Neodiprion lecontei: one gene and its partners. The protein of the gene in region 1 interacts with the protein of each later gene in a pairwise test. Links are inferred from orthologs where the notes say so. Each region holds a gene or a part of one and is shown in the gene's direction. Other genes may lie near its edges. The genes, in order: neurogenic locus Notch protein, segment polarity protein dishevelled homolog DVL-3, protein deltex and neurogenic protein mastermind.

What was found.
Region 2: the proteins of neurogenic locus Notch protein (region 1) and segment polarity protein dishevelled homolog DVL-3 interact in a two-hybrid assay, tested with the Drosophila melanogaster proteins (3 studies listed by BioGRID). The link is inferred for Neodiprion lecontei from reciprocal best matches to the Drosophila melanogaster genes N and dsh.
Region 3: the proteins of neurogenic locus Notch protein (region 1) and protein deltex interact in binary tests that used the Drosophila melanogaster proteins (3 or more experiments, as listed by UniProt). The link is inferred for Neodiprion lecontei from reciprocal best matches to the Drosophila melanogaster genes N and dx.
Region 4: the proteins of neurogenic locus Notch protein (region 1) and neurogenic protein mastermind interact in a two-hybrid assay, tested with the Drosophila melanogaster proteins (5 studies listed by BioGRID). The link is inferred for Neodiprion lecontei from reciprocal best matches to the Drosophila melanogaster genes N and mam.

What each region holds. Positions count from the first base shown.
Region 1 is NC_060261.1:15,201,939-15,206,508, reverse strand, and holds the start of neurogenic locus Notch protein, read left to right. Parts: upstream 1-1,551; 5' UTR 1,552-1,808; coding exon 1,809-1,896; intron 1,897-4,570. UniProt on the Drosophila melanogaster protein: Essential signaling protein which has a major role in many developmental processes. Functions as a receptor for membrane-bound ligands Delta and Serrate to regulate cell-fate determination.
Region 2 is NC_060262.1:8,146,943-8,151,977, reverse strand, and holds the start of segment polarity protein dishevelled homolog DVL-3, read left to right. Parts: upstream 1-2,026; 5' UTR 2,027-2,419; coding exon 2,420-2,580; intron 2,581-3,355; coding exon 3,356-3,425; intron 3,426-3,627; coding exon 3,628-3,880; intron 3,881-3,970; coding exon 3,971-4,153; intron 4,154-4,277; coding exon 4,278-4,488; intron 4,489-5,035.
Region 3 is NC_060264.1:2,162,130-2,167,962, reverse strand, and holds protein deltex, read left to right. Parts: upstream 1-1,570; 5' UTR 1,571-1,874; coding exon 1,875-2,026; intron 2,027-2,504; coding exon 2,505-2,712; intron 2,713-2,818; coding exon 2,819-3,088; intron 3,089-3,236; coding exon 3,237-3,525; intron 3,526-3,599; coding exon 3,600-3,921; intron 3,922-4,003; coding exon 4,004-4,358; 3' UTR 4,359-4,363; exon of another isoform or gene 4,364-4,985; intron 4,986-5,062; 3' UTR 5,063-5,300; downstream 5,301-5,833. Other genes in the region: ubiquitin carboxyl-terminal hydrolase 30 homolog, read right to left, coding at 1-50, 122-280, 465-564.
Region 4 is NC_060265.1:1,241,349-1,245,950, forward strand, and holds the start of neurogenic protein mastermind, read left to right. Parts: upstream 1-1,556; 5' UTR 1,557-3,495; coding exon 3,496-3,987; intron 3,988-4,602.

The sequences.
Region 1 (4,570 bases):
TTATTTATTCATTTCTCAAGGCTCAAATGTCTATTATTAACGAGCTTAAATTACCTTCATTAATTGTGTATACACACGCGATATCTCATTATATCGAACTGGCTGAAACAGTATTATAATGTAATGTATAATAAACATAAACGCTTCGTCCATAATTAGTAGTTAGGTTGATGTCGCCAAGAGCTTCTACATAGTTTCTATTTTAAACGAATTTTCAAACTCGAACAAATCTTTAAATTAAAGAATATCATTGCAAGACAGAGTTAATACTGCACTCAGAAAAATAAAGTGAAACTGAAGCAAATAAATTTTAGTTGCGTACAAACAAATTAAAAAATTTATCTGTAACGCATAAATCTTTACTTGAAATAATGAAGTATTCCATTCTCATAAATTTATATTTAGTTGACAAGATTTCATTTCAACTGTCTGAAGTAAAAAGATTCTTCAAATTTAATTAAGTCGATATTTACTGTAACAAAATTTTTAGTGAGTTCATATAAGATAAAAAATTTAGCTGCTTTCAGCAGCTATGCACGTTTAACTTCTCTTTTCTATGTTTTCAGAGTAAAAAGGAAGTTATTGTAATAGCTCCGAAAATGAAAAGTTGAGTTCTCACTAGATCTGCACGTTTTAAAATCTAGAGCATCACGATTTTAATGTTTTTGTCGCAATTGATGCGATTTTTCGAAACGTAGATCGGATTATATTTCGGCTTTGATTGGTTCATTACATGTCGAATTATTTAAATAACAATATTCTTACAAATAGAATAGAAATGATACCTTGAAAATGGGTGAACAAATTTGCATGATCATTTGTGTCATTACTTTAGATTTTTATGTCGCAAATCACGAATCTCGAGTTAAAAAAACTAAAAACAATTGGATTTTGATGAAAATTTATACTTGAAGGTTTTTTGAGTCGGTGATCACGAATCAATGAGATCTGTAAATTTTTCATTATTAATATCATTCTTATTATTTCAGCTCGAAACGAGTTTGCAAACGGCAAGTTGAAAGGCTGGCTCATGGTCAGCCGAAACCCGCTTGTTCTTGGTGCATCGCGAATAGGATTACATGTACCTAAGAATCTGATAATCTCATATAAAGAAGATCGTATGAAGATTGTATTTCATTGAAGTGTTCGATAATAAACCAACGTATATTAATATTTGTACAAGAGTTTATAGCCAAGCAGGCCCTTCGGAGGCAGCGTGCGGCAGGATTTTTTGTCCCCCGCGGCATAAATGGAGGCGGTGTCACGTGACGGAGGTATTTAAACGATACGAGGGGACCGAATGAGAAAAAAGCGGAGGGCTGCAGGGCGTCGAAAACGGGCACTCGTACAATTTCATAGCGTAGTTCGAACGGAACCGTAGAACGCATCAACCCCTCGATTGGACAGCGGGATTGGCAGATGGTGTCGGCCATTTTGTGATCGGCGGAGTGAGACAAGCGTTCTCGCTCGAGATGCGCGCGCCGTTCCGGGACTACTTTCAGCGCGTGAAGTGAACAATAGAATCCCAGACGAGTTTGAGCCGCGGTCATGTTCGTATATGAGGTCTGTGTCGTTGTTTTGCTTCACGTTGTTCAGCTCGCGTAATGTAAACACGCCGCCGGAGCAGCAGCAGCAGCAGCAGCAGATTGAAGTTACGATGAACATTGAAGTTACCCGGGTGTTAAACGATAATGGACTGTAGCCGGTTGCACTGCACGGTATCGCATTATGTTATTATAGTGATTAAGTGATTGTGTGATCAATTGTCTGATGTGTGTGATCTCTGTGTGGATAAATTCTCCGCCAACATGCTCCGTCTACAGCGGAATATGGATTACGCATTGACGATCGTCGCTCTGGCTCTTTTCGTCGCCAGTCTGCCGGCCTCGGTTCACGGTGAGTTTATTCTCATCGAATAAAACGGAAGAATCCTCCGTAGTCGTCACCCGGAATTTCAAGTTCCCCCTTAGAATGCGCGTGTGCGGAAACAAAAAACTCCCCGTCGCGACGGCAGCTGCAGGCTGTGCAACAGGTCTGAAAAGCGACGCGGGTTTCTCCGCGCCGGCGCGACATTTTCGAACGCGCTGTCCTACTTAAAAACTCGAAAACACCCCAAAGTCGGCAGCCCGGCTTCGCCGAGCGAATGCCTGCCTCAAGTATTCCTGCATTAGCATTTCAGGGCGCGTCGCGAGGCGTCGAGTTGCTGCCATTCCACTACTACCTGTCCCGAAAATATACCCGAATAAACCGCCACCTCGAAAATCTCTTGATTCATCAATGTAACCGCAAGCATCCGGTTTTTCCATTCATTCTGCGCGATGAAAACAAATCTGACATTTTCTTTTTCCCTTCCGCCGCGTGCTTCAAATTTCGATCAAGCTTGATCAAAACCTCTCGCCGAAGAGCGATCTGAACTTTGCATTTAAGCTTTGTCAAAAGTCACGGTAAACCATAAACTTACGTTTAAATATTCCACTCAAATTAAGTGAAAACTTGAGTTTTCTATCAAGCTTGATCGATCGAAATTTCTACCGTAACATTACATTTCGCCCGATTCTCACCGAACACGCAACTAAGGCATTGAATAATTGAATACATAACGAATCGTTTTACGATTCCTGAATGAATTAGAGTTCGAGTTCCTCGCTCTGCGCAAATTCGTTTTTACGACCGGACCGGCTTTCAGCCTCACGCACAGCTAGTCCTGCTTGCCTGAGCGAGTGAGTGCTTATAAAATGCCGAATACACGAGTCACGTGGTCGCGACAGCGGTTCTCAATTGAAAAATCGTCTCGCGTGTGCGTACCGGCTTTTTCCGTCACAGGTTGGGACTCCCTGTTGAAACGACAGGTGTTCAACCCCACTTTCCACGAAACGAATATCTTTCTTGTTGGGTTTATTACGTACACGTATATGTATATGTATATAGACTTTATTGAACTCGGGCGTTGATATCCAGGTGAAATTTTACACTCACCGCATTATTAGGACCGTTTAAAAATCTGATGAATTTTACAATAAACTCAAAGCAAATCGTTTCCCAAATTTTATTTATCCGTAATTTTGTAACAGGAAATATATCAGTTTTGGAACAACTTTCAAATTATTTACAAAAGTCGGATTACCCTTTTTCCAGATTACGCGTTTTAAGCAATCGTTATATTTCCATATAACACAATCAACCTTCTACTTGAATCGTGATAGATAAAAATCACTCACGCTATTCCAAAATATGAACTAAATATAACTTGACGTTCAACATTTTCAAAACTCTTTTATAAAATCAACTGTAAAATCACCGTCGTAAAAAATATACAACTTGGAAGTTGCAAAAAAAAAAACAAGATAAAAAAATTAAAACAAGAACTATTGCGTGCTATTATCCCTCCTAAACTTTTAATTACAGTCAGAGCAACTGTATTTCATGTGAACGTTTCATATTCTACGGCGTTAACTTTTACAGTAATACGCGGTACAGAAGAAAAAATTCGTTATAATTGTAGCGTCGTTTCCGGTGAATTCCGGCGAGTGGCGAATGCGTTAATGCATACAATAGACCCGTCCCAGCCGGAATAAAGAATCCGAGAGAAATGAAGCGCGAGTAAACATGGCGCACGGTGGTTCGTCTGCGTGTCGGCTGGAATTCTGAGGCGAAATAACTAGGCCTTGCTCCTCGCCTCGGTTTCCATCCATGCCTTCCTTGCGCCCTGGCTTACAATTAGCTTACCTGGAGTCCGTCTCTCCGCTGCATCTGTGTATATGTGTATATATATACACACACATATGCGTATACATATGTGTATATACTCATAATCCACATTCACTCTAGGCTAGACCAAATTTACGGATGTGTTGAACTCGTATTGTATATAGGTATGTAATACCGATGCCGCACAGAGGTTGTCGGAGTCTCAACAACTACGGAACTATGTTCTCAGGCTTTCTCTTCTCTCCTTAGAAACCTATCTTCGCCTCTCCCATTGCCGTGTGTCTTATATATAATGTAGGATTATGTGTATTGTTCTCTATACATGTACGATAGATTTTGACCATTATTGATGAATAAGTTGAAAATAAGTATTAGTCAGGTTCGATGAATTGATTCAAATTTTATTCACAGTCGTATAAAATATAACATACGATACATGATCTTTGTTCAATGATTGGAAAATTTTACAAAATCTTTGTCATTATTTTTTTTATTAGAATTGATTATACAAAAGTAGTGACAGAATAGTTTTTTTTCTTTCTTTCTTGGGTGAAACTGGTGTGATGGAATTAAATTCCAAGTTGAATATAAAATTATGCAATCGTTGAAAAGATTCTTTGGGTTTTTGAAGTTACGTGTAAGAAGTATTTTTTTTCTCCATCTTATGCGATAAAGTTAACTGGCTGATATAATAATGATAACGAAATTCTTGAAACTGTAATGTAGACTGCATTTAAGTATGTGTTATATAATAAGATGGAGTTGAGAACTATTCAAAAACATCGATATAAGAGCATTGTGATAATTCAATGCATAGATATCCGAATGGTCAGAGCGTAAGATTTGGCGAAACCGGAGGTCG
Region 2 (5,035 bases), on another chromosome or scaffold:
AGTAATACAATAAAGCAAGGTGAGGATATACGAAGTCAAAGCTCAGAAAAAGTGCAAGGAGAGAATAAAGAGACACTATATTCTAACGGACTTACGAAATATACTCGACTTAGAACGAAGGCTGAATTATCTCCGATAGCTGCAATAACAAAAGACGGAGGTTATCTCAGGCAGCAAGAGTTTCCCATCCATGCAGCAAGTGCCAATTGTGTTATTTGTGGTTTGTCTACATCGTTCGAAAACACTCGCTTCCACCGCACGTCCGTCGAGTACCGATCGAGGGGGCCCCTGATTGTGCCTCGACCCTGTTTTCGTGAAATCAAACCGTGTAATAGATATCACTGCGTCATATCAGAGCCAACGAGGATATCCAGGGAATATATTCTAATGATTACCGACTCTCCGATGACGGCTCGAATCCCTGCCAAAATGACAGTGTGGTTCATGAAGACTATACAAGGAGCACGAAGTTAAATACTTGAATTGACAAAACTTGTCACAGTAATCATACATATTACGTTAATTTTTTGTACCGCTAGCGTCGCTAGTGTTCCTTTAGCAGCGAAGTGTCATTGGTTGCAGGGATGCCCAAGATCGACTAATCGATGATCTTGCAATGGGATTCGTAGAAAGTTTTCACTGCCGCCTTATGCCTCCCCCCAAACTTAGTTTCAGTACTTATTGAACACTAGTGACCTCTCATTTTGGGAAGCAATTTGTATACATCAAGTTCGTGCTCCTTGTATAAGTCTCCATGGTGTGGTTGGTAATACTCGGCGATTTTCGAGACTACTTGGCACATGACGTACTTCCGCTTATGCGCAGCAAGGAGGTGCCCAGGCAAAGGGAATTTTATTTAAGTTATTGAGCAAGTTCGATCAGACGTCACTCAGTCACCAGAATACAGCGCGTGTATTAAAAATTTCTGGAGAGCGCAAAACCTATACAGATCTGAGGACCCAAAAGCCTGACCCAAGCATTGAGTAGTAATACCGTGTAGTAATGAAGAAGGCTAGCCCCTGAGCAATGTAAAACAACATTCCTTTCCTATTAGATAGATAAGTCATAGAAATTTCTGGAAATTACCACAAGTTGCGACAAGGATTTTGAGTTATAACTTTACTGTTATAACATATTACGCCAGCTTTCTTACAGTGCTACTTTAAATCACTCTTTAAATAAACTGGTATAGGAATGCGACCCCAGAACAAATTCAAATAATCTCTGAGCCTATTTTACTACCATGCAATTTGCCCATTTGGTTGGCGTACTTCGGATATCGCTAGTTTACGCCACAACCCTAAAGCATATAGAAGTAAGGAGGACTATCTTTGTGTATAGAAAGTGTCCATGAAATAGGGTGAAATTAAGATGGCGTTGTAGGAAAAGTTCCACATTCAACAGAAAGCACGAATCAGATTGAAGCCTTATTGCTTATTAGAATCATTCTGGTGACTTGTTGAGCCACTATTTGTCGCTTTATGGTGGACACTTTTTCAGTTGATAACCCACGTGAGATAGCTACTTCTTACCTCTTCGCGCCATATACTCGAGGTAGCTTCGCGTATACAGAAAGGTAGCGGAGGAGTGAGAGAGAAAGGTATATGTCGAGTATAATCTGTCTTAAATAATCATCTAATTGAATGCGAGAGACAGAGTGCCCCTAATACTTCTCTCTCTCTCTCTCTCTCTCTCTCTCTCTCTCTCTCTTTCTCTCTCATCACATCGGCTGCAGTTTTCGCAAGGTGACAGGTTGGGCAGCCACCTCCCGTAGTATGTGCTCTAAGGCCACAACTGAATTGAACTAAACATTCGAAATCTCGATGATAATCGACCTAGCGCTGCCATGAAGTTGGCAATTTAACTTGCTAAGTCTAGCAGTATATTCTATATCGTGTTTGTGGCCCATGCCCATAAAATCCACGCTTTTTTATTACCGAGAGATTCTCAGGAAACCACGAGGCGAAGTTTGAAAGCCCTAGGTCAAAAGCAAGTTTTACATGCCTCTGATGCGTGTCAAAGCGTTCGAAATTTTTCACATTCTAACCATACGATATGTTCTCACAATCCATTTTTCGCACGAACCACACGATGCGAGTGTATTCGAAGCAGCTAATGAGAGAATTCGATTAAGGAGGAATGGAGACACCGCGATCCTCCCGATGCTTTTTCTGTTGATTATTACGATTTCGGTGAGATTGTTCGCCCCCGTCGCAGCCGTGTGCGCGACCGGATAAGATTTAACATTATTGGGAAGAGTAGGGTGCGCAATGACCGTCTGCTGCGCGAGGTAGCTGCGCGTTGAGATAATAATCTGGAACCCCAACGAGTGTCGACAGCGCCATGTTGGCTTAAGAGAAGAAGTGCACGGAGAGTAATCAACGTCCGTGAATGTTCTCCGTTTAACAATCTCCCAGCGATGGAGGAGACAAAAATAATATACCACATTGACGACGAGGAGACACCGTACCTAGTTAAGCTAACAATATCACCGGAGAGAGTGACTCTAGCCGACTTCAAGAATGTCTTGAATCGTCCGAGCTACAAGTATTTCTTCAAATCGATGGACGACGATTTCGGGTAAGTTTTGCACCACCCTACGCTCTCCTTATCATCCAGCAGCGGATCACTCGCCCTGCGCTTGTTTCCTTTCGCTCTTGCCCTTTCTCTCACCAAAGCCTCTACGCTACTCCATATTTCATCCCCAACATCCCTCGGGAACCAGGATACCCCGACTTTCAGGGTGCGAACCCACACTCTGCCCCTCTCGCCAGTCACCTTCCTCTATTCGTCGTCCCTGTCGCTCCGCCACCATCCGTCACTTTCCGCTGTCTCTCAGGATCGCCAAACACTATTTCACTTGTCCGTCGGATAGAAATAATCGACAAACTTTACTCGAGTATTTACAAATTCTGCTCTTCTTACCTCAAAACGCGAAATAGAATCTGATGTATAAAACGATTCATTTCTAACACTACTTGTCAACACGAAGCTTTTTCTTCATTCATTTTTTTTCCTGTTTTCTTTGTTTTTTTCCGTGCTTTCGCGTAGACAGTTCACATATACGCAATTCTTTCATTTATCGAACATTACAGAATTCTTGTTTTTAAAAAAAAACATGTTTTTCACTATTGGACTTGAGTTTTAAAACGTGTTTATTGCGCTTTTAGATATCTTGCTTCCATTTTGAAATATACAAGAAACACTTCTTTGTACGATACTTTGACTAATTCGCTCTTGTCCCAATAGTTGTTCTATCTTAGAAATACCAATGGAAATATCTGCCTTGCGTCTGTACTGATTCGTCTTGCATTAACCTCTTGAACTTTTACCTATAAATAATATGTTTTCACAGCGTTGTCAAAGAAGAAATAGTTGACGATGACGCACATTTACCATGTTTCAACGGAAGGGTTGTGTCTTGGGTAAGCACTCATACCCGTAAGCCTAATTAGTTGATTTCATTCGCTGCACATTGCCACAGTAAATAACAAATGGACAATTCATAGAAGCATAATGATGATGTTTTGAAATTATATAAAACTTCTTGATAGTAAAATATTAGTAAGTGTGCATAATTGATGTAGTTAAAATCACTGATGATCATTTTTTGAATATTGTCAACAGCTGGTTTCTGCTGAAGGCAGCAACGTATCAGATGGAGCATCGCAGTGCACAGATTCCGTAGCAAACAGTGAGGCAAAACATGATCGCCCTGACCATGTTACTCCAGGACACATGAACCGAGCACCTCCACTGCTCTCACACGATGACACATTGACAGAAACTGAGAGTATTATAAGCAGCAGGCAAGGCCATCATCTGCACAAAAGTTCGCGGCATCATTCGGACAAATATGAGAGACATAACAAATATAATGGTAATGTGGTTCCTTTGCTTGTCGATTCCAATAGCATAGGATTGATTGTAATTATCTACGACTTTACTGTTATTTTATGATATGATACAGGGTTACGCATAAACGGCCATTCCAAGCATCGTTCCGGACATGGATATGAAACCGCATCGATTTTAAGCTCCGACTTAGAGACAACTACTTTCCTGGAATCTGATGACGATGCGAGCAGCCGAATAACGTCTACGACTGGGCGACACACGAACACAAGCAGTGCCATAGATAGAGCAACCTTAGGTATGATGTTTGTGTATTTTGTTGTTTAGAGCTGAGCTGTATCGAGATTTCTTTTCAATATAAGATTCGTTGTAAACACAACTGGCTTCGAAAATCATTGATGCAATATTCATTTCACTTATAGACCGTCGCAGGACGCAGCGAAAACGTCGTCACAGATTACCACCAATGTCAAGAACGTCATCGTTCAGCAGCATCACTGACAGCACCATGTCTCTGAACATTATAACCGTATCACTCAATATGGACACTGTCAATTTTCTCGGCATTAGTATCGTTGGCCAAAGTAACAAAGGAGGTGACGGCGGCATCTATGTCGGCTCCATTATGAAGGGGTAAATATAAATATTTGTTACCACACATTCACGAGTTACTTCAGTGTCTGCCATTTTTATTGAAATCCATCTTTATCACATATCACTGGGATCAACACGTGGTTTTGCTTTTTTCCTACATCTGTAGATTATTTACACGTTATCACGTTTAGAGTAGCATCTTTACATGTTCAACGACTCAATTTTATAATACAGTTTATTTTCAAGTAATTTTTACAAACGAATAACTTAATGAAAAACGACACGTCAAATTCTGCCTAAGGTTTCGTTTTCACGAAATACGCGGTACCGAAAGGACTCTGTAATATTTATTTTTGTACAGAGCATCCAAAGTTTGATCATGGTGGCTACTGGTCAGGGGGCAACCTGGAAGGCTGGGAAAAGTCGGAATTTTTTTGATCAGGTTTTTTAGCGGTATGGAAAGACAAGGAATAAAACTTCTCTAGAGAAAAACAAAATGCGATAGATATTTGTTGTTTAAATGCTCCTTTCCACGACCACTGAGTGCACCATCAACGTTTTTTCAAATACCGATTATTTCAGAGAT
Region 3 (5,833 bases), on another chromosome or scaffold:
AATTGGTGTTACGTCTCCATATATCATTTCGTCGCAGAAGCCATTTACCTCTTAACAATAAAAATCATTTACATATTTGTTACAATTGTTTATGCAGTACTCAAAACGAGAGCAAGCTTACTATCTAGAATGGAGAGAAGGCTCCGGGCAAATTGGCCATTTTCATTGTTGACAAGCTGCGTCCGAAGCCAGCCGACAAACATTGGACACGCTGCTAGAGACTGGAGAAGCGCGTTCATGAAACAAGTGTATCCTAGATTGGTGAGTCCAATAATTTGGCCTAGAATAACGACAATGACATAAATTCCAAGAGGAATGATTATAGGTAAACAAGCTAGTTTTTTGAGTAATTAGGATAAAACGGGCAACGGTTCATTACTGTATAATATTAAAAATGACTTCATCAATTGAAAGACTTGTGAAGGAAAGGAGACAATCGTCGATCGCTACTTGTATGCTATTACCTCTTCGCCTAGGCCTAGGCGAAGGTCCCCAAAGTACAAAAGCGCCGATAACAAGGGCAAACCCGACACCGGCGACCATAGCAATTTTCTCAACATCCATTTTGCGTAGAAGTTTATAAGTTGAAGTGTAGAAACAATATTAAATATTGTTAGATATCCAGCAGAAACGGTTATAACCTATTTGTGATATATCGTGTGAGAATGAGCTGCGTTATTTCATTATTACAGCAAGTCTTCATCGCCCGATCATTTCACCGCATAGTTCATTTGCCTAAGACACGATTTGAGACGGCTACTTTGCCACTTCTCTGTTTACAAAATTTTTTCTTGTATTTTTAATCCACAGTACGGGTCCGACCCGAATTGTGCAGAGCCGTCTCCGACGAACGGTGAAGTGGTCAATGCTCAATACAAATGGGCAATGACAGCCTTGCCAACCCTTCGAATAGAAATTCAGGAATCGGAAACGCATACTTGGCTCGTTGGAAAAAAAATGTAGAGCAATGAACCCTATCCATGTTTTGTAAATTTATGAATTACGCAGAGCCGTTACACTTGATCATCTCGAATTCGTAGAAAAAAAACGACGTGAGCTCTGCATTCTGACTTTCGAATCTTACGAGATAAATGTAAAGAAAAAAGGGTCGACAGGTGTCATTTATGCCATGTTTAATGTATACATGTGCGTTGTGTACCTATGTGTGCATAACACTATGCATACAATCGTAACGTATAATGCAGGAATTTAATTCATCAGATTGTTAACCGTAATCAACTAATTCGATAAAGGGAATAGTTGACAATGACAAATGTGCACGGAAACGTTTATCATCGTATAACGTGCATTGCAATTCTCAAGTGAAAAACAGTGAGAACTATAAAATTGTAGTAAATTCTCTCCTCGGCGTTAAGCCTGGCTAGGGGAGTCGGATGCTGGGAAGGCTGGGAAGTGACAAGTGCGCTTGGAGGAAGCAGCGTCCATCCTTTTCTCTTTTAATTCTGTGCCGACTCCGGTGATTTCAAGTCGATTGTTCAGTCATCGAAGGGTAAATGAAACAGAGCGAGAAAACGGATCGCCGTTACTTAGCGAATAACCCGTCGGCTAATACGGAGTAAACTGAAACTCCAATATTTACGTTCTCGTTACGCAGACGTATACAAAAGGATCGTGGAGAGGGGCGGAGGGGAGGAGGACAGACAACACCGATACTCTCTACGGTGTGCGGGCGGAGCTGTATGAATTCGAAAAATGTTCCCACGGTCACGTCGAACCGAGTTGATCGCCACGTTCGTCCCAGTTCATCTTTCGCGGCGCTCAGCGTCCTGTGAGAGCGGCCTTGACCGTTGACCGTTCTATTTACACCATTCTCATCTTCACCCACTTCACTCGAACCTGAAGGATCGAGGAAGATGAGTGGGCACGCAGTCGTCGTGTGGGAATGGGAAAATCGACAAGCTAGATGGAGGCCGTACAGTCCGGCGGTTTCCCAGCACCTGGAGAGAGCCCATTGCAAAAAACTTACCAGGGTATTCTTGAACGACGCAGATCCGAGCCTCGACAGGTATGAGAAAATAAAATTTACACTAAAATGGCAATGGATCATTTCTATGAGCTCTGTCATTTTTTTTTACCATGCAGCTTGCTTTGTATTTTAATCGTACCCTGATATTCATATTTTATCTAAAATCGTATTTACCGTAAAAGATTAAAACTGACCCGATCTTACCCCACCATTAGATGCTACTTGGAACGATTCTCTATTGAAAATTGGAAAGTTGAATTCTTCCTTCGTTGAGTTACCAAGAGAAGATGATATAAATTATTGAATAGTCTAAATATTTCAGCTCGATTGGTTCCACGATGCTTGGGATTTAATAATAGCAAGCTTGAGAATTTCGTTCCCTGAAAAATAGCCACATATTTCTGCGTACACACTTGTATTCTTCTCAGTATTGCTTATTGGGTATTGCAAGGTCTTCTTGCTAGGACTTGATTAGTTTTCGGTGTATTTTTCCATCTGTTATGAAAAAAAACGACAGTTTCGTCTGTATCAGATACTACATCAATCTGAGGACAAAGACGCAGTGCAGTGACGATGGCACGGAAACTCATAACGTTAGGAGAAAATTTTACTTGCCTGGATCACCGGCAGGAAAAGGTGCCAAGTGGGAATGGGTCGGTGACACTGACGATTGGCACACTTACGACATGGAGGTCCAGTGCCTCATAGAGGAAGCATGGGCACGGGTGCGTTTAAAAAATTCTAAGATGTAACTTTTCTGGTTCGAATATTTATAAATCGTATAAGAGCAATATTTCTCTTAATTAATTTATTACCTTTTGATTTTTCCAGGGTGACAAAACAATTGACGTTTCCAAAACATACCTCGGCTTTCCTTACATAATAAATTTTTGCAACCTTACTCAAGTTAGATGTTGCACAGGTTATGTACGCCCGATCAGACGTATACAGCAGGCACCGTATCCTTTAGTGAAAGTTGCGCTTGAGGAATTGCCACCGACTACTGGAAGAAGAGGACTAAATGGAACTGTCAAAAATCCACATGCTAAACCAACACATAAGAAATTACCCAATGGGACTGGAAAGAAGAGTAGCAAGAAGGTAATGCAAAGTGCTCGATGATTGATTAGTAAAGTAGTTGAATCATCTCATAAAATGGGTTTGAGAAGAACCTTTGAAAGCTTACATCAATACTAGAGTCAAAACTTGATCAGAACCTATAATGATTTCAAGCATAACATTTTTTTAGGGAAAACATGGCGATACAGGACCAACAAACATCGCTCGTGTGATATTGAATAACTTGAATATTTTCGGTAATAAGCATGCGGAAAACGTGCCAGTAGAAAGCACTACAGAACCAGTTCAAAAACGCAAGACACGGGATTCCAATTTACTAGACATTGATTCAAGCAGCACCAAAAGTGGTCGGCGTCCTAGCGTTGATACAGTATCCACCTATCTCAGTCACGAAAATTATGTTGATTTATTAGACAGCAGTGTAGGGAGTGACGATGCCTTCAAGGATTCAGTTATTGGTGAGCAAGAAGCTTACTCAACATATTGCAAGAAAGAGAGTACATCCAACATTAAGGCCAATCATTCGTTTCAGGCGTTGTAGTCGAAGCTCCTGATGTCATATCTCAGTATGTAAGGGTGGTTGAAAGTGCCGGTGCTGATTCGTGTCCTGTTTGTTTGGGCTCTCCTGAGCCTCTGACAGTCGAGTTGACTCGCTGCAGACACAGGTTACACCTAGCGTGTCTAAACGCAATGATTAGTTCACAACAGCAACCAATGTACATACAGTGTCCAGTGTGCCGATTGATATATGGAGAAAAGAGAGGAAACCAACCTCCAGGGACAATGAATTGGACCAGAATACCGCGGTCTCTTCCTGGATTCCCGAACACGAACACAATTCAAATAACTTACGAGTAAGTAGGCGTAACATTCTCGCAAAACTGACTTGATTTCATTCGGTTTTCTCGATTTTACGCGTTTCTTGTTGGTTTCTAGCATTCCATCAGGAATTCAGGGTCCTGAGCACCCAAATCCTGGCCAAACATACTACGCAGTTGGCTTTCCTCGAGTTTGTTATCTCCCCGACAACGACACAGGCAGAAAAGTCCTAAGACTACTGCAAATCGCTTTCGAGAGAAGGTTGATCTTCACCGTTGGACGGTCAGTGACTACGGGCCGAGAAGATGTCGTTACCTGGAACGAAATTCATCATAAAACTGAGTTAGGTCCGTCGACCTTGGGACATGGGTATCCCGATGCTTCATACTTGGAACGAACGCTCGCGGAACTCGCGGCACAAGGAGTTTCCGATGGCCAATCAGTGACTGGTTTCTACCAAGAGCTTCATTGACTCAGGTATTTCGACGTTTTCGCTTTGCGAAAATATTCTTTAGATCAGGGTTGGGCTGAGCAGCTGTGCAGTTAAACTGACGAGAAAAGACTGACTGAACAAGAGGAAACAGTCTGCCAAACAAGAAATCAATTTTTTTTCGTGGTGAATAAATTCTGGCGAATATTAATACTATTTGGGACATGCAAGATGGTCTCAACAATGCCTTACGTATTATACAATAATTATCGTTGGCGTAATAGCTTTAATTTGCAATTCAATATTAATAGCTTTATATTATACTTACATATAAGCGTGAGAGCGTGTGCGTGTGTGCGTGTGCGTTAGCATGTGTGTGTGTGTGTATTCCGCACATTTTTTTTCAAGTTTTTTGAAATATATTTCTCAAATTTTGTGTAGTTAAATGGATCTGCAGCATTATATTCGTGCGGTTGTTTTTAGTCTGCTATAATCTCGAAATGTTAATTTACCTTGCGTTAAATTTTAAATGGAACAAAATACTATGAGGAGAATGGTGATCCGTGCTTCCAGAAAAATATTATATACTATATACATATACGTAGATTTATACTCCATCAAAATGGTATTAATGAAAATAGATATATAGATATATTTATGATAGAAATATATTAAATAAATATAACAATTAGTATAAAATATACAAATTACACTTTCTCATCAGATTGTAATTTAACTAATTTCAGATTCAACCAATAACCAACCTTTTTCGTTCTTCCTGTATGTACCTTGCGAGTGCCGTGTTTGGACACTAGCAGATATTGCACAAATTTCAACATACTGACAGATACTTCAGTCAGGTTGGCAGATAGACGGCCAGGGTCTACTTAATCACAATCAGAGAAGGGACCCAAAGCTTTGGAAAGTCTGAGAATTCTCCGAATAGTGCAAATCCCGCAGAATTCAAAGCAGATACAAAAACAAGTACATTCATGCTATATCTAATGATTTGGGATACTCAATTCTTTATGGTATACTCCAGTAGCGTTTTTTGGTATCAGTATAGCCAGATGATATATGCCAACACAGATACGCATTATCGGGAGTATTATTATGAGCTTGAATTCTGAGTTGAAATTTAAAAAATACATATTTTAATCGGCCCAAACTCGTGAAGGATATCGAAACGACTTGGACACTTTTTGGTAATCCGTGGTATAATTCAAATTTCTTGGCGCCGAGAACTGCGGCAACTCGGCAAACATACGTGGCGATGTTCGTTTGCAAGTCATGCGTATATAAATTACCAGTGAGTTAATTATTACAAAAGTCAGGGAGTGAGAAAAAAAAAAGAAATGGCAGAATGTTGACAATTGATTATGTCTCCATAACATCATTTAAAATGATCGCCCAACGGTGTGAAGTAAGGCCAACTCTATCACATTGTGATCAGGGGGACTCCAGATATGCTCAAGATGGCCGAGGATTGATTTTTCTGATTTAAACGAACCCTGTAA
Region 4 (4,602 bases), on another chromosome or scaffold:
TGCGACCATTGCCAATTTTGTCACACCGTGAGCACAAATAGATAGATAAAAACGATGAAGAGAGCTACCATTTTTAGTGATTTCTTGCACGCAAAGAGAAGTAAAAGTTGAAGTAAAGAAAAAGTCTAAAAATAATAAATTATGAACGCTCAACTAACTTGTGAGAAAAGAGAAATTCAGAACGCCTGCATGATAATTTGAAAGTCGTTAACATAGGCTAAAACATCAGTGACAAAAGGTTTGGGATAATTGTGAAAAACTTTTCAAACCAAACGGCAAGAAACTTATTGACTGAACCGTATTAACCAAAGTTCCGGTTCACAGCCAATTATACGACTACGGGAATCCGAACGAGCAGAAAAGATAATAATCACTTCGTCAATTAGTGTCAAATTTAAATACTTTTTTATTTACCTGGTTCACGGAATTTACCTGTTGTTAATTCCGTGAATAAAGCTCAACCGTTGCAATCAGAATTGACAATAAATGTCAAATATTAACAAAACTTGTGCTTGCCGTGTTCGTAAGCTCACGGGTAAATATTTTGCATTCTGCCTGATTACGGCAGGGGGGAGGGAGGGAGAAAGAATCGCTCTCCCTCCCTTCCTTATTTTGTTACCAATAATTTTTATTCACGGTAACTTCTTACCTTACTGCGTCTCAATTTGTGTATCCCATATTTTCTTCTTCGAAATATCTCCGATCGTTTATCTGTGTTTTCTATGGAATCGTGTACTTTGGCATACCGTAGGCCAGATAAGATTCTCTCTACAAAATAAGACTACCAGCGGCATCTTCGATTGAACGCGAATGTTGCCTCCTTCAGGTTCCTTTTTGTCGTAAAAACAGGTCTGTAATCGATAGCATGATTGATAATCAATTGATCAAGTCGTGAGAAGTACTAACAAATCCTCTTCCACAATAAAACTTCCCGATTTCGAGTCGCCTGATTGCTCTGTCTTTTGTTTTCTCGGGTCAGGTCGAAACAAATTTGTGTGAAAGTCGACACGCATCCTGGTGGATACGGGAAATTACGGGAAGTCAGAAATTCACATATCGCTTCGCATTTTACGTATTGTTATGTATGTATTTCGATTAACTCACTGCATCGGTTTCTTTCTCACGTTGTTGACGATGCAAAAAAACAAAATACATCGATGCGATCCGGGTTGTGGCGCCATAGGTGAGAGTATTAAGAACCCTAGCGTAAGAAAATGCCTTACCTTAAAATCTTGCGAGTAAATCTGTTCATTCGAATTCGCAGATGTGAAACGAATCCTATTCGCCAACTAAGGGAGCGGTTACTCCCGAATCATTCTCAGTTTCATTCGGTTAAAGGTCGCAACCGCTTTTCCAAAACATCCTCGCCATCCACGCTCGCCACGACAGCTTTCTTCCCGAGCGTCGACGAGGCAGTTAGTCGGCAGCCTGAATTCAAGATGGCGCGAGGGTCACGTGTCCCACCGAGAAAGGCAGTGGCGCGGCAGTTCGGCGTTTCGGATCCAGGCGTCGCTGTTTGCGATGTTGTAATTACGGTTTGCCGTTTCAACGATATATGCTCCCGTACCCACGCGCAGTTGTGGTAATGGCCCCGCGCGTTATACAGGGGTAAAACGAGACGGCCGTTTGGGGGAATTGAATGTGTTGTCATCGCGGGGTCGCGCGCGTCGTGATTAACGTAAACTGACCGTGCGGTAGAATCTGTGACCCGACGAAGAGTGGATAGTGACAGTTGAAAAGTGAGGTTAGGGTTAGACTTACGGGACGAGGACGAGGAGAAGGAAGATACGGTGTGAAGTGTTATCATTGTGCGTACGAGAACCTCGGTGTTACTCATCCCCCCTCTCTGTCGATAAAGCAAAACAAACAACATGTGACAAACGCCGCGCGTTCGAAACAACATGTAACTCTCACCACCGTTCAAAGTGCAACGATCACGGGAAAGAAGTAAATGCGAACGGGGTTCACGATCGAAACCTTCGTCAGTCGTCGTTCGGCGTTTAGCCCGAATCGCAGAAGTCCGCTTCTCTTCTGTCTTGACGTTTTATCGAGTACAACATCGGGCCCTCCTTCTCTCCCGCAAACAGAGAGAGAGAGAGAGAGAGAGAGAGAGAGCGAGAGAGCGAGAGAGAGAGAGAGAACGAGAGAAAATAGAGGGAGGCGGCGGATAAACCCGGCGTGTCCGTCTCTCCTGCGGTTGGCTTCAGGCTGCAGCTACGGCAGTTGTGCGTCCCTCGGACTCTCTAGCAGCGGTACACCGGTTCGTCTCTCTCCCCCCCTCCCCTCTCTCTCTCGCTCTTCACGTCGCTTACCCCCGTCCGTTGGATGTCGCACTCCGCCCCCCCCCCCTCGTGCCGAACGACCTACGACCGTCTCTTTCTAGTCGGCTGAAACACGCCGCGCTCACTCTCAACTACCTGTTGTGACGTCGAGCCGCGCGTTATTCGACGTCGCCTTCTGCCGCTGCGAACGACGATCGGCTGGTAGGAGAGCACTCGAGGAGACGTACGTATAACGACGAGTAAGTAGGCGAGACTACTCGCGATCGGTGCACGCGATACCCGTCGTGCGTCGAACAAGTCGAGGATCGGGAAAGGTGGCGCGGTTCGCCGGGACGGATTGTTTACAGTTATTCTTGTTGACGTTCTTTTACACCCTTCGGCGCGAGAGGCGAGAAAGGGCTGCCGCTGATATTCGTACGTAGTGCATACACACGCGCGGCGAACAAAGAAAGTGCAATAGTTGGGTAAGAGTGCGCGGAGTTGACAGTAGTGACAATTAGGTGGAAGTACAACACGTCGAATCCCTACAATGTTTACGGTCGTAACGAAGACGCCGCCGAATGTCATCGGGTTCTTGTTTACATCACGTGGAAGAGGACCGCTACCACCGCTATAGGGCATTGCCGTCGTCGCCGTTCGCAGTGTGTTTCTTCACCCTCCTCGTCACGGAGTTGAACCTGCGCCTGCGCCTGCGCGAGCGCGGCACGCGTGATTCTCGATACGATAAGAAGCGGCAGCGAAGCGACAAAAGCGAGAGGAGAGCGTATAGCGCTCGCCGAGTGATAATAACGTAAAATTCCTTGTTGCAAGGAGGCGGGGGCGAAGGGGAGGTGACGAAAAATAGGAACAATCGCGCGTCGTACGCCGATGTACGAGGTTGCGGAGGAGGGAGAAGCGAGTGACAATCTGCGAGTCAAGTCCAACGGGGGCACCTTCTCGAGTAAGAGAGAAGAAAAAGAAGAGGAAGAGGAAGAGGCAGAGGCTGAGGTAGACGTAGACGCAGACGTGGAAACAGTCGTCGTAGAAGTAGAGGTAGAAGTAAAAGTCGGAGCGGCGGCTGTCCGCCCGTGGAAGGACGGCTCGCGGTGCAAGGGGAGGATGCGAGGGGGGATTATCGCGGTGGCGGAGGAGACACCCCGTCGCGGCGCCAGGGCGACGAGAAGCAGAGGCTCTCATTGAGCTGGCGTACCCTGCGCTGGACTTAGGGGGCTGTATGGAGGCAGGGGGGCTCCTGCCCCGGCAGCCCCCGCAAGGCCCCCCCTCAGGGCCAGCCTCGGCCTGCGTGGGCGCGTCTCAGCAGAGCGTGCAGCACCAGAATAACAACAACAACAATAACAACAACCTCAACAACAACAACAACAACAACGGCATCATCGTGCAGCCGGGTGGCTTGAACGCGAACCAATTGATCGCCCAGAATCAGATACAACAATTACAAATGGGACAGGCGCCGGGGATGGAGGATGCCTTAACCCCAAAGAGGCAGGCCGTATTCGACAGGCTAAGGAGGAGGATCGAAAGCTACAGGAGGCGGCAGACCGACTGCATACCCAGGTTTGATCAGAGCTTCAACGGACTCGTTGAACAAAATAGCCAGGACACTCAGGTGCTCAAGCAACGATTTCTCGAGAGCAAGGCCAAACGGCAGGCCAAGAAGACCGACAAGAAGCAAAACGACCCCGTCGGACTCGCCAGCGTTCACGTGGTGAGTTTACCTCTGTTATTCCCGTTTGTTTCTTTATTATGCGAAACCTTTCCCTGTACGTATTGTGATAAAAGCCCTTCTCTCTCTCTCCCTCCCTCCCTCTCTCTCTTTCCAAGTACCTAAAACGGTCATAAACATTCCGGCTGTCCCGTTTCTTACAAGTCAAACGTATTGTCTCGAATTCCCTAATCCTCTTCGAGGTGATACCGTTGTAAGGAAGAAAAGAAAGAGAGAGAGGTAGAGGGATAGAGAGTTAGTTGAGCCGCACGTACGGAAAGTCGTTAGTACAACAACGGTATGTAACGGGCGAGCGACGGTGAGGACGAGGAGGACGACGGTGACTACGGGCGTCTTGCTTGCCCGACCCAACCAACCAACCAGCCAGTGCAGTAATCCGAGCTTAGACCGGAGCAACCCGACATTCCAATTCGATTCCCGCGTTTAACTCTCTCCATGATTCATGCATCTATGTGCATACATACGCACGCGTCTCTGGTGTACGTTTATACCCTAGACGACGACGACGACGACTCCGCGAGAGAGATGCGATCTCGCCGTTTCTGTTCGCCGCCGGCTCCCCCTCCGCCCGTCCAGTTATCGCGTCTAATTATATTA